2 linked regions of the Caenorhabditis elegans genome follow. The protein of the gene in region 2 binds, or shares a complex with, the protein of the main gene of each other region. Each region holds a gene or a part of one and is shown on either strand. Other genes may lie near its edges.

Region 1 (4,949 bases), 640 kb from region 2:
TTCAAACATCGTTTTTCATTTTATTAACGTTCTGTTGTGTTTGTTTTTATTTATTTATTTTATTTTACGTGAAAAAAAGCTCAAATTCTAGTGACACTCGTTTTATTTTCAAATTTTAAAGGGAAATGGCTCCGAAAACTGGAGAAACCGTCGTTGAAAAAATGGAGGTAGATGAAGCTAAGCAAGATGTCCCAGCCACCGAGCCAGCAAAAGATCTCAACGCAATTGCAGTTGAAAGTAAGTGAAATACAGAAATACTAAAGTTTTGATTGCCTTCTTTTCTAGATATCAAAGAACAATTAGCTGCTCTCGACAAAGGAGAAGAACATTTGATCACTCGCGTGTTGCAAGTATTGCCGAAAACTCGCAAGCAGATCAATGACAACGTTCTTTACAAACTCGTGTCTTCACATTTAAGCAGTGATGCTCAGTTCGCCGAAGGAATGTTGAAGTATTTGCATTACACACCCGCCGCTGATACTGAAGTTCAGCCAATGGATACTTCGAATGTCAAAACAAAGTCTCCAAAAAAAGGCGTCAAACCAGTGTTTGCATCTCCCGAATCAGATTGCTACTTGCGTCTTCTCGTTTTGCTTCATCTTTATGCTCAAAAAAAGAATACCGAAGCTCTTGCTCTCGGCGAGAATCAACTCACATCAAGTAAAAAACATATTTTAACCCAAACAAAACGTATAATTTTCAGTTTACAACTTTGATCGGCGTACACTGGATGGACTCGCAGCAAAAACCCTTTATTTCCTCTGTGTGATCTACGAACGAGAAGGACGTCTTTTCGATCACCAGGGATTCTTGAACTCTCGACTCCGTACTGCAACTCTCCGTAATTTCTCCGAGTCACAAGCCGTTCTGATTTGCTGGCTTCTTCGCTGCTACTTGATCAACCGTCAATATCAATCAGCTGCTCATCTTGTCTCCAAAGTTGCATTCCCAGACAATGCATCTAACAATGATCTTGCCCGCTACATGTACTATCAAGGACGTATAAAGGCTCTTCAACTCGATTACAATTCGGCGGCTGGATATTTCTTGCAAGCTCAGCGAAAAGCTCCACAAGAAGGTGCCATTGGCTTCAAACAAGCTGTTCAGAAGTGGGTTGTTGTCATTGGTCTTCTACAAGGAGAGATTCCTGATCGAAGTGTGTTCCGTCAACCAATTTATCGCAAATGTCTTGCTCACTACCTGGATCTCAGTCGAGGCGTTCGCGATGGAGATGTTGCTCGTTTTAATCATAATTTGGAGCAATTCAAAACACAGTTTGAAGCTGATGATACTCTCACATTGATTGTTCGTCTGCGTCAAAACGTCATCAAGACTGCAATCAAGCAAATTTCTTTGGCGTATTCCCGAATTTATATCAAGGATATTGCCAAGAAGTTGTATATTACTAACGAGACAGAGACTGAATACATTGTAAGTAATTTATATTGACAGTTTTATGTTTATTATAATTGTTGCAGGTGGCGAAGGCTATTGCCGATGGAGCAATCGATGCTGTTATCACTTCTGATGTTCGTGATGGACCTCGGTACATGCAAAGTTCAGAAACAGCTGATATTTATCGTACTTCGGAGCCACAAGCTCACTTCGATACTCGTATCCGTTACTGCCTCGAATTGCACAATCAAGCTGTCAAAGCTCTCAGATATCCACCAAAGAAGAAGATCGCTGTTGAAACTATTGAGCAAGCTCGTGAACGCGAGCAGCAAGAGTTGGAATTCGCCAAAGAGCTGGCTGACGAAGATGATGACGATTTTTAAACCGATCACTCACTTTTTTAATTTATTCTGAACAATGCATTGGAACGTGTCTGTCTCCGTAAATAATTTTGTGTGTATTTTATTTGAATTTTCTCGTCTCTTTTCAAATCGAGATCCCTGTCCACTTTTTTCCCACACCCGAATGAATTTTATAAGGATGAATTGCATATTTCACCAAGTCTTTTTAAAATATATTTTGTTTAAAATTGGTATTTTTCACCGATTTTATTTCTGAATTAAGTAGTGTTAAAAGAGAAAGATCGTCTAAAAAATAATCTTCAATTCTATCGTGATAGAAATCCATGAGTTTTCGAATAAATACTGTATTGCAACATCTAAATATACGATTCTATTAAATTTTACAAAAATAATGTAATTTGTCTAAACACTTGCTTTACGATGTCCGCAAACACTACCTGCACACGAACTGCGTCAGAAATTACGAGCACGATTTTCTTAATTCTTTTAGTTCAGAAACTTTCTTGAAATCATTTTAGTTATATTTATGTTTATTCAATATATTTTGTATTACCAAAAGTAAAAAAAGGAAACACTGAAAATCCCATTAATATTTAAACTCTATTTTTCTCTGAAACTAACTGGAATTCAATTTTGGAATTTATTAGTTTTAGTCAATTGCTCTCTGATATTTAATTTTTTTTTCATTTAAAAAACATAATTTATTTAACTACGAGATCGATTATAGCGCTGCTTTTCTTCCTCTTTGAAGTTTAAAATTATTTTCAGAATGAATGAGGCTCGAGCAAGGATCATAATAAACCTGCGGCTGTCGATGGACTCGCTGATGCGAGTTTTCAGTCACCGATCACCACCTCCTTCATTTGGATTTGCTTGCGATGTCGGTGCACATCCATCATCAACTGCACAAAACTTGCCAATGACATATGGAAGTGTTCGCGAAATGATTGACGATTTTAGTATTGTTTTTGGAGTTCCAAAGTATAGAACTAGCAAACGTACGTTTATATGTTATGTAAAAAAACTGATTTTCAAAATTTATTTTTTAGCAAAGAAAGTAACTCGCAAGTTCTCATTCACACGCCTTCTTCAACCGATTGATAATCTTGTGACATGTCCAGCGTGCTCGAATATTCATCCATCGGACACTATTTGTGATGCCTGCTACGCCAAAGTTCATCAATTGACTTCGGAAATAAAAAAAAAAATGATGCAGTACAATCCATATGTTGGAGAGAAACAGGATAAAGAAGTATGTTGGTCCAAAATAAATTAGTTTTCCAATAAAATGCTTTCAGGTATATGTGAAATTCAGAGGAGAACCAGATGCACCGGCAGCAGTTGTTAAAGGAAAGCGAGTTCTCGAAATTGAAAAAGAACGACCGACTTGGTTCAAGAAGTTGACACTAAAAGAATGATTTTCCTCTATTTTTATAGGTTTTTATAGATTTGTTCGTTTTCCTTGTTTTTGTTCATTCATCATTTTTTTTTTTATTGGAGTCATAAATAGAAAAACCTCTTACCATTTTCTAATTGTATTTCTATTTTCCATTTATGTTTCAGGTGGAAATCAAAACCATTGCGTGTTGTAAGTGTGAAACAGCTGAATCGATATTCTCTCCGGTTACCCTTGTTTCCAAAAGTGTGTCACTTGTTGACATTCCGCTTTTCTAATGTGCTCTTGTCACGATCACTCTGCTCGAGCACATGAAGTAGGAGAACTGCATGTGTGTTTGCGTGATTTTTAGAGGAATCCATTACTTCGGTTTAGATGTTTGATATTGGGTTACAATGGTGAGTAAGGGATTCCACATATGTTGTACTTTTGTATGCAAGCAAAATGGAATTCTGAAACGATGCAAAATTCAACAATATTTTGTTCATTAGTTTATTCAATTTTTAGACAAAAATGTGGGAAAAAAGTTAAAAATATAAAGGTTTATAGAGTATCCAAGACGTGTCATAAAGCGCAAAATTTTGTGACTTTTTCGTCAAAACCCGGTCTCAACACGACAATTTATCGTTAAATACAAACGGGTGTGCGCCTTTAACGAGTACTGTACAGTACTCTTTGAAGGCGCACACCTGTTTGTATTTAACAAAACAATCATCGTGTTGAGACCAGGTACCGTAGTTTTGCCGAAAAAAACCAATTTTCTAAAAGTCCTTATAAACAGTTTGTTTTCTGGAAGCCATGGAAACTCGACTAAGGTGGCAGCAGCAGGCAGCAATACTTTTAAAATTTGATTCCCAAAATTTCATTGAATTCTAGAGATGTTCAACTTTTTCTCTCTTCTATTTCGATCTGTTCGCTTCTTACCGCACATTGAGACTGATAGTTGAATTGCGTGACAAGAGTATTTCGATCTCCTATCTCTGCGTCTCACCTCCTACAACACTGTCTCGAGACTAATGATGAATGCATTTTGTACCAGTCGGTCGATCCTCCATCCTTCCTATTCAACTTGTAAAGTTGTGTTGTTGAGATATGGATTAAAAGAAAAGAAAAAAGAAATACCATGAATTTTCGGATGAGTTCGTATTTTTAGAGAGTAGTCGGCAAAAGAATGAATTGGGTTACTGTAAGAAGTAGGGGGACAAAAGTTAACAAGGGCAAGTAAACATTAAAAATATCTGACTTTACCTGAAAAAGGTAAACCAAGTGGCTAAAATAATACGAAATTTACAGAACAATGGGAAGTGACGCGCTACAGTACCTCTCTTAAAGGCGCACACTTATTCACGGGCGAGTTATCTGTAAATTTTTCAGTCGTGGCGAGACCCGGTACTGTGGCTTCGATATCTGGAAATTTTGGGTTTTTTGACTGTGCAAAAGATATAACATTTTTATTTTACTTTTTAAATCAGTTTATCGAACGTTCACTGTAAAGGCGTAGGCTACGTGGAAGGCAGTCACGCAGGTAGGATCTTTGTGCTTTTTTGAAAGTCGAACTATAAAACAATATCTTCTGATTGAAGTGCACAACATCAGTTCAAGAAGTCCCGTCCATCTTCATTAGTTGTCTAAAAGTCATGGATATACCCCGTCTCATCGTCAGAGCCAATGTGACTATGAATATTGGGTTTCACCACCATCACAAATCCAAAAGACTCACTACCACATTTTAGGGGCTTCTTCTTCTTCTTTTGCCTATCTCAGTTTACTTTACTCTCAAATAGTAGAAGAGAAGC
Region 2 (9,578 bases):
TAACAGTACTTTTTTCGAATAGGAACACTAGAAAAAGAACTGTTAGGATAAATCGGAAAACTCATTGATTACATTATTTTATTGCCTATCCGACAGCTGCATGTTGGTTGCGAAATGTGGAGAAAACAACCAATTTATGGCCTTTCAATTGATCATTCCCGTGAAGAAGAAGTGGGGAAAACGATTTACATAAGAAAGTGAACGAAAAACTTTGTTAGAACGATAAACGGAGATTTGTTTGCAATGATTTACTTGGAACCTATTTTACGCCGTTTTCAAGCGATGAATATTCCGAAAATAATGTGATGGAGCTAAATAAACTTATTACGATCTCATTTAAAATATTAGAAATACAGAAAAATGTTCTTATCGTGTCAAAAAAAGAAAAAAAAACAAAGAAAATCATTTTAAAACTCAAAATAAATTTTGGCGCCGTGCACAGCTCGGAAGTCCGCAATTGACGACCGTACCCCTTCGCTTACCGTAGTTCTGATATTTGCTTATCTTTTTTAAATATTATTCTCAAAAACACACACAAAACTTATCTGAAGATTAAAAATACGAAAAACTGTATTCATGTTTGAATAGAAAAAAATCTACAGTATGTCTGTAAACATTATTTCAATATTCAGTCAATTCTGGAATAAACAAATTTGCTCTGCTTCTGGAAATGTTTATACAAAGAAAAAGCGTTATTGTCGGCATACAATACGGAATATAAAGGAAAACGGAAAAAGAAAACCGAAGTGCTAAATCGATAGTGATCACATAGGCGGTTTCAGAATAATCCACGTTTTCGTGCAGCAAGTCGTCCATTGTTCTCGAATTTGAACCTTCCTAAATCAGTCCGTGTTCTAATTTCCCGTACCTGGCCACATATGAACACAAATTATATTGGTAGAACATATGGAAACAAGGTACACGTGTAGTTATTGTCCGATAAAATGATAGTTTTATGACTCATAGGAAATTTGAATCTAGGAAGATTCCACGCAAAACTGTTGGTCAGATGCAATTTTTCACGATTTTTCGAAAAGATGTGCGCCTTTATGGAGTACAGTAATCCATTTCGCAATTTTCTTTGAGTTTTTCACTATATTTCTCTCGTTCACAAAGATTTTGATGGATTATATTAAATTTCTCGTTTTTGGGAGAAAAAAGTAAAAATCAAAGGCAATTTCAAAAAAAAAACCGGAAAATGGTTACTGTGCTTCTTAAAGGCGCACACCTTTCCGTCAATTTAAAATATTATGTTCGTGGCGAGATACGGGGCATACCGTATTTCTGCGTGGGAAATTGCAAAATTTTGTCAAAAAAAAATTTCTTCCAAAATAAGTTGAAAACTCTCACTGGACCGGACGTACAAAACTACATGTTTCTCCCAAAACATTGTTAATGTTGTTTCTCATACTCGAGGTTACCTAGGTATTCAAAACATTTGTACTGAAGAAAAAACATTCAGCATTCGGAAGATAAACTATAAGGTCATGTGAGAAAAGAGAAAAAGTATTGGGGATTCTGAATGTTTCCATAAAATGGGTTTTGTACAGCACAAGGAGTTAGGATTAATTTTACAACTTTAATTGAATTTTTAAGCAGTTGTGGATATTTTCAAATTCTTAAGTTTTCTGATTTATACCTTTTACTTATACGGAACTTGCTAGAATTAGCCAGGTGGCTGAAAATTTTGGTACCACCTTATAAGGTCCTAATGCCTAAAAGATAAATGAAGAGTTGCTGAGAGTAATTGGTGTATCAAATTGGGCTATAGAACATATGTTTATTAAAAATTGAACGGTACGGTATTGAATTTTGAAGATAATTTTTTTTCTGAATTTAATATTTTCTTAACATCTTAAATTCGATTTATCAAATTGACATTTTGAATATTCTGAAAGTTAAATATTTAATGGCTATGAGAAAATTATTATTAATTAGTAGATAGAATACGATTGCGTACCGGAAGGACCTTAGCACAAGTGACGTGGTTATCTAACTGGCTAGTTAGATAACCACGTCACTTGCCTAGGTTCCCATGACTTGGAAAGTTCATGACCGGATAAATTTCAGACAGGAAGACGTGCATGTTATTCTAATTAGTCACTGCTGTCAATTATATGATTCAGGTGTTCAAGTATAATGGTGTGAGAAAATATTGCATGTACTTGTAATCAATGCAAGTACATATTATGTTGTACTTGTATAAATTAGAACGAATTCATAGGGAACATAGAGGTGGAATACAGCATTTAATTGTATATTGTATATTTTGCTGACAACTTATGGAACGGCTTTAGAAGGATATCTGCTGTGCATATATCAAAATTCTAATGAAATGACAAAAACTCTAATTTGAACGCCCGCGTTTTGTCGGGTACGAGACTCCGATATCCCGCGTGCGCCCAGTTTAGTCAAGTTTTTGCTCGGTGTTTTTTTCTTATCATCAACTTTGCAAATAAGTTTTTCCCCTTTATTTTTTACGATTTCAACGATTTTTAGTTCGAAAAATGTGCGAAAATTATTATTGCAATCTTAATAATCTTCTTACTTGCCGAATTCGTCAGAATTTGCCCATTGAACGCTGATTTTTCGAGTTGGACAGTCTTTTATTCCAAATCGATGTTTTTCATAGCTTTTAATTGCAGTAATGTTCCGTCACGTGGCTCAAAATTTGGGCTCAAGAAACACATCCATTCAGTCATGTGAGTTTGAGCAATTATTAGTTTTGATATTCAATATCTGTTTTCCAGACCGGTTGCTGCGTACTCGATGGGAGCGAGGATACCTGAAGGACCTTTACCATCGCCGACAGATTCTTGGAGCTGATCCAGCAATTTCCCGATCTTCATACCCAAACTGGTAAGTTTTTTCTCAGAAAAATGTCATACAAAAGCCGTTTCCCATTTCCCACTGTATTGACTCACTGTGCTGCTAATTGCAATTGAAAATCGCTTGAAACTCAAGCGGTTTAAGTATTTTCTTAACCCATCTCAGTTCTGTGCAAGTACGTAATCATCATTGCTCTGCTGACAAGTCAACTCTTCAATGGGCTCCTATCAAGACTTCCATCGACAACTCTTCGGACGATTTTGCTGCTAACACTGCTGAAATGAAGGTTCTCGTGGAAGATTTGAAAGCAAAAATATCTAAAATCGAGCAAGCTGGAGGAGAAAAAGCCGTGAAATTACACCGCAGTCGTGGAAAAATGCTTGCAAGAGAAAGAATTGACGGCATTGTCGATGCTGGATCACCATTCATAGAGTTTAGTCAACTTGCTGGATACGAGGTAAACGATATTCGTATCCGATTTGAAATTGACTGTTTCTTTTCAGATGTATGGAAAAGAGGAAGTCCCATCTGGTGGAATTCTCACTGGAGTTGGAATAGTTTCTGGTCGTGTTTGTGTCATTGTAGCGAACGATGCGACTGTCAAGGGAGGAACATACTATCCTATCACCGTAAAAAAGCATCTTCGTGCACAAGAAATCGCCCGCGAAAACAAATTGCCTTGTATCTATCTCGTAGATTCTGGTGGCGCAAATCTTCCACGCCAAGCAGATATCTTTGCCGACAGCCAGCATTTCGGAAGAATTTTTTACAACCAAGCAACAATGAGCAGCGAAGGAATTCCACAATTGGCTGTAGTTATGGGAAGTTGTACAGCAGGAGGAGCTTACGTTCCAGCTATGTCTGATCAAGCCATTATTGTCAAAGGAACCGGAACTGTTTTCCTTGGAGGACCACCACTTGTGAAAGCTGCAACTGGAGAAGAGATCTCTGCCGAGGAACTTGGTGGAGCTGATCTTCACTGTGGAGAATCGGGTGTTACTGATTATTATGCCCATAATGATAAACATGCTTTGTACTTGGCAAGAAGTTGTATCGCGGGACTACCACCAGTCGAGGAGCATATGACCTTCAATCCAAACGGTATTACAATAGTAAAATATTCATGTTTCTAATTCTCATTCTTCAAAATTTTCAGCTGATGAGCCTTTGTATCCAGCTGAGGAAATTTACGGAATCGTGGGATCTAATCTCAAAAAGACATACGACGTCCGCGAGGTTATCGCTAGAATTGTCGATGGCTCTCGATTCCACGAATTCAAGGAGAGATATGGAGAGACGCTTGTGACCGGATTTGCTACTATTTATGGGCAGCGTGTAGGAATTCTAGCTAATAATGGTGTTCTGTTTGCTGAAAGTGCCATGAAAGGTTCTCATTTTATTGAGCTGTGTTGTCAACGGAAGATTCCTCTTCTTTTCCTTCAAAATATCACTGGATTCATGGTATGATTCGACAATTTTTCAATATTCACAGAGTTTAATCTAATTTTTTAGGTTGGAAGAGATGCTGAAGCCGGCGGAATTGCTAAACATGGAGCTAAATTAGTTACTGCGGTCGCTTGTGCAAAGGTTCCAAAAATCACCGTTCTCGTCGGAGGTTCATACGGAGCTGGAAACTACGGAATGTGTGGAAGAGGATACAGTCCAAGGTTTGGAAAATATAGTTGGGATACTTTCAATCTAGCTATTTCCAGATATGTGTTCATGTGGCCTAATTCTCGAATTTCCGTAATGGGTGGAGAACAGGCAGCGAATGTACTTTCAACTGTTCAAAAAGAGAAAAAGAAGCGCGAGGGAGCTGACTGGACGGATCAGCAAGATCTTGAGCTTCGTAAACCTGTCGAGGAAAAGTTTGAGAAGGAAGGACACCCATACTTTGCTTCCGCTCGTCTTTGGGATGATGGAGTTATCGATCCAAAAGACACCAGAAAGGTATGGTTTCTCAAAACACTTCTAGAAAAACCCAAATTTTTCCAGGTTCTCGGACTCGCTTTCCAGTCAACCCTGCAAAAGCCAATCCCAGAAACCAAATTCGGTGTATTCCGCATGTAACTTGTTGATTCAGGACCATCTCACTCATGTATTTTTTGTTGTGAGATTTTTATACGGATTTTCTTTAATATAGAGCTTTTTGTTAGTATGTTACGACGGTTTAAATTTATTTAGAGTATAGCTTTGATTCTGATTGCTTCCGTTGATTTCTAACCTGCTTCATACCAATCGAGTGCCTTTATGTGTTATCTAGGAATTTTCTCTTTAGTTATGAAACAAATAAAGTTGATATGATAAATATATATATTAATTATTTTACCTCGTTTCTATTGTATATTAAACTGATTCACTATGTTTTTATTTATTCTGCACAACACAGGGAGAAATGGGAAATGGCTTATATTTACAGGAGAAATTTTAGAATAAAGACAAATTAAAAATTTGCAGGGATTACGACAGTGAACTATATGCTTTTGGACACAGAATTGGAGCACCGGAAATATCCGAGGATCAGTATATTAAGGTAAGTTAAAAATATTTCAAAGTAGGAATCTGAAAAATTTTCATTTTTCAGGCGCTTACAAATGAATCATTTTTTCAAAGAGCCGACGTCGAAGAAAATGTAGAAAGTGCTCAGCCGGGAGCAGAAGTTGGAACTGAACATAATGCAGAGCTTGTGAAACGTGGAGAGCAAAATCTGTCGATTTGGCTTAAAAGATATTTGCGATTCCATTTGGCAAAGGCTCCTGAGGAATTGATTGAAGCAATTGATTCTCATCTTTTGGATGATGAATGTCTTGCTGGTATTGCTAGTCATCTCGGTGAGACTTCCTCACGAATTGTATCTTGTTTTCAGTTCAGCATTTTATATTTAGTTTCAAAATAATTTCAATTTCAGGTATCGACCACCTTGTCCGTACAAAAGAATTCCCGATCAGTCAAGAATCCTCAGCCGACGCTTTCCGTGCTCTCGCTGGAGTTTTCTCTGATGAAAAAGTGAAAAATCTTGTGATCGATTTCATAGTTCCCCAACTAGTTGATATTGATTTTGCTGGTAATGGTATTATCTTCCAGATTTATATTTTTATTTCATAAATTGCAGACATATACCCACTTGCCGATCCTCTTGCTGTTGTAACTGATTTGTTAAAATCTAACGGTGTCACTGAAATTGAGCCACGAGTTCTTCGATCGGCCGGAGAGAACAGCGCAGAGCCGATCTATGTTGTTGCAATTTATGCGGACAAATTGAAGAATGTTGGACAAAGTGCTGGAGAATCATTGGCAATTGCTGTTGATATGGCTGCTAGAGAAGCATTGCTCAGACTCTGGGATATTACTTCAGAAAAGTAATTTTTATCAAAAAATATTTGATACGATGCTCCTGTAGCTATTACCGAGAAGCGAAAATTTTCAATTTTTGCACAAAAAAATCGGTACCCGGTTTTTTTGTAAAATGTAAAAGAGTGTGAATTATCATAGATTTTTCGTAGTTTTTAGGGGGAAAAAAATGAAAAATCAATAAAAATTTAGCAGCAACAAGAGCTTGAAGTTACAGTACACATTTCAAAAACAATTTCGTGTTCAGACTAGGTACCGTATTTTTGGCGCAAAATTTCGCATCTAGATGATATTTAAAAAATTAAAATTTCAAGCTTAATCAGAAGCAGGGCTGGGGCAAAAAAAAGCCGAAGACAACGAAAAAATAAAATTCGCCGAAAACCCAGAAAAAGCGAAAAACAGATAATATTCTGTTTAAAACGCTTTTTTGGAACATTTTTGAACCTACTACGCTAGTTACATTTTCGAGTGTCTTTTTTTTTTGAAAACAAAAGTCAAATTTCGAAATTCATGAATTTTGAAGCTAGATAACCCGATTTTCCAGCAAAAAATATTCAGCGAAAGTTTAAATTCTATGAAATTAAAAATAAAGTAATTTTTTCAGAGTCCTCTTCTTTGGCGATCGTGCTGCCAATGTACCACTGGAACGATACTCTCAACCGAATTTCTCATTGTCACAGAAGTGCTCTCCAGGGTATTTGCCAAAACCAATCTTCAAAATCAATGAAAATCTACTTCTTAATTTCAGAACAAACACGAACATTATTGACCATAGCCAACCTGTTGAATCACCAGACAATCTAATTGAAGCAGTTCTCCGATACCGAAATGTGGTTGATGCAGAAGTAGGAAAGAGCTACACTAAACGATTGCGACACAAATTCTCGCGTGGTTCGCTTGCGAAACGGTCCTTCAGATATCTTGTCAAGCCGAAGCCTTACACGGTTGCTTAATTATTATTATCTAGAGAGAAGCCTTTAAACCTTCAGATTTCAATCGTATTATCTCATTTTTCCTCTTTTTTTGTTTTGTTCCAAATAGTTTTCCTTTCATTTTTGTTTGTGTTGTTAAATTTTTCAAATCAAGCTAGAATAGTGAAAGTTTCAATTTTACTCTGTTATTTGTTCTACTACATTTCCCCATTTCCACACTTGTACATGAGTGCTCAATGAAGTCGAAATTGGCAACAGCTAATCCATTCAGTTCCCATCTTGTTAAAGGAACATAAATTAGTCACATTTAAAATTCAAATTGAATTCATAATGCATCCCTTTCCTCTCTTCTTGTTGTTCCCTTCTTCCTTCCATCTCCGCTTTGCTCTTTGTCCTCCCATCGGCTCCTTGATAAATGATGGGGTCCCCCTTGGCCAGATGCAACCCCATTTATCTAAGACCCCGCTGCTGGCTCCGTGAGCACATACACAAGAGATGTGACCCTTTGATAAGCCCCAATGGGACGATTCTTCTTGTTTATTAGAAATTTGATATGCAGTTTGTTGATGGAAGATTAAATTTGAACAATATTTTATAAACAGTGGAAGGTGGAAATTGGAGCGTTCTATAGAATTATAGAAAAATTCATTCATTTGTTTATCAGTCAGTTATCAACCGATTATAGATCACACCAATGTAATGGACATTACAGAAAAAAATACGTAAGAAACCACAGGTTTACAGATCCGGAAAAAGAAAATTCAGACGTCATTCTCTATGATTACGGTAGTTGGTGAGCTCTGTTGAGTGCACTCTTGCATTTTATTTTACGTGCAAACACATCGTACTGCTTCTTTAAACTAAGTACTTGTTTTTGCCAATAATAATAATATAAAATATTTTGTATATTTTTTCGATGAACATATTATATACATATTTTTTATGATAATCATATTTTCGATAAACTTTTAAAAAAACGAAAATCAAACAATATAAAAACATAGATTTCCTGAGAAAAACTATGAAAAATCGATTAAAATTCCACAAAGTTTGAAATCACAGTACTCTTAAAAGGCGCACACCTTTTCACATTTAACAAAACGCATTCGCGTTGAGACCAGGTACCGTATTTTCGACGTAACAATCGAATGATATAACTACGCAAGATTAGTTTTGTTCTGTCAGAGTGAAAGTTTAAAGAATCTGACATAATTCTTCAAGTCAGTTGTTCAATGACCTTTTCAGCCAAACAAATTGAGAAGTACCACATCACACCTGGCTCCATCTTCCATGCATTAATGGGAACAATTTGAGCAATTGGTGGTGATGATAAAAAAGAGATAAAGTTGCACTTTTTCTTTGATTTTTTCATGATTCCTGATTCACCTTTAGTTTTTTTTCTTTTTTACACTGTCTTTGTGCTTTTGAGCTTCTTCTTCTTTCATTTCTCAAAAAGCTGCAAGACATCACGTGACACAATTGAGCCATAGACATACTTTGTGGTTTGTAGTGTGTTATGAAGTGTCTGAAGCGTTCAGAAGATCCCTCTGATGAAACTGAAACAAAACATCTCATTGACTAAGGTTTGCAGGTACATCAAAGTGTAATGGGGTCAATGAAGAGCCTGATGAAATTGATAAAGAGATAAGATGATAGGGATTGGAATGTTCTAGATTCGATTGAAAAAGAGATGGAAAAGTAGAGATCACGGATTGACAAATGCTATGAAGTTCTGCAAATGAGCTTTACAAAAACGCGACCACGATGTCGCACTTTTAACATTTTCTATCAAAAATGTTGAAGAATCGAATTCGAGGAGCATAAAGAATGAAAATCTGTTTTTTTTAATTGAAAATACCATGAAATTCAGTTAATTACAGAAAGCTCCAAAAATGATTGGAAAAAATTAAGCCGCCAGATGTCAAATGCTTTAACTTTTTTCAAAGAAGAGTTGATAACAAATTGTCAATAACAAAAACAAAGAAAACGTTATGACCTATATTTTGTATGTAGAAATTTTTTTTGCAAAACCTATTAGTTTTTGACTTATTCTCTTTTGGAAATTTTGAAAAATTATCAAGTTTTCCTACCTGCGCTTTTCAAACTTCAAAAAACTATGCAACTTGTCCTTCCAGTTTCTGAATTACGTTGTTGGCAAATAAGCTACCGTAACCCTGCACTTTGTACCCAATTCTTTCAACTGCTCAATGGACCTCGGAACCATATTGTTTACAATCACAACAACCACAACAAAACCCATAAACTTTGTGAAGACAACTCGAAAGTTTCGAAAATGTGCTTTACGTGAAGCCGACATGTGGTAGCCATTTGGGATTCATTTCACCGACCAAACTTCAATTCTTTCCATCTTTTCTAGAGAACAATCAATCGTTATTTGAATTAAAATACTTTATTTTGGGGGAAAATAATTGGAAAACCATATCATAATTATTACTTCTTAGTTGA

Evidence for each region.
Region 1: mrpl-44 (region 2) and mrpl-32 share a complex: the UniProt entries of both Caenorhabditis elegans proteins name them as parts of the mitochondrial large ribosomal subunit.

What each region holds. Positions count from the first base shown.
Region 1 is NC_003281.10:8,447,232-8,452,180, forward strand, and holds mrpl-32 (Large ribosomal subunit protein bL32m), read left to right. Parts: upstream 1-2,525; 5' UTR 2,526-2,526; coding exon 2,527-2,755; intron 2,756-2,806; coding exon 2,807-3,009; intron 3,010-3,055; coding exon 3,056-3,175; 3' UTR 3,176-3,288; downstream 3,289-4,949. Other genes in the region: rpn-3 (26S proteasome non-ATPase regulatory subunit 3), read left to right, coding at 126-237, 286-660, 704-1,431, 1,479-1,778. UniProt on the Caenorhabditis elegans protein: Component of the mitochondrial large ribosomal subunit (mt-LSU). The mitochondrial ribosome (mitoribosome) is a large ribonucleoprotein complex responsible for the synthesis of proteins inside mitochondria.
Region 2 is NC_003281.10:9,082,443-9,092,020, reverse strand, and holds mrpl-44 (Large ribosomal subunit protein mL44), read left to right. Parts: upstream 1-2,645; 5' UTR 2,646-2,647; coding exon 2,648-2,702; intron 2,703-2,750; coding exon 2,751-2,859; intron 2,860-2,994; coding exon of another isoform or gene 2,995-3,286; intron 3,287-3,332; coding exon of another isoform or gene 3,333-3,930; intron 3,931-3,985; coding exon of another isoform or gene 3,986-4,290; intron 4,291-4,341; coding exon of another isoform or gene 4,342-4,496; intron 4,497-4,541; coding exon of another isoform or gene 4,542-4,779; intron 4,780-4,824; coding exon of another isoform or gene 4,825-4,899; exon of another isoform or gene 4,900-5,277; intron 5,278-5,286; coding exon 5,287-5,362; intron 5,363-5,413; coding exon 5,414-5,660; intron 5,661-5,737; coding exon 5,738-5,893; intron 5,894-5,941; coding exon 5,942-6,188; intron 6,189-6,784; coding exon 6,785-6,874; intron 6,875-6,928; coding exon 6,929-7,133; 3' UTR 7,134-7,711; downstream 7,712-9,578. Other genes in the region: mccc-2 (putative methylcrotonoyl-CoA carboxylase beta chain, mitochondrial), read left to right, coding at 2,648-2,702, 2,751-2,859, 2,995-3,286, 3,333-3,930, 3,986-4,290, 4,342-4,496, 4,542-4,779, 4,825-4,899; far-2 (Fatty-acid and retinol-binding protein 2), read right to left, coding at 9,571-9,578. UniProt on the Caenorhabditis elegans protein: Component of the mitochondrial ribosome. May have a function in the assembly/stability of nascent mitochondrial polypeptides exiting the ribosome.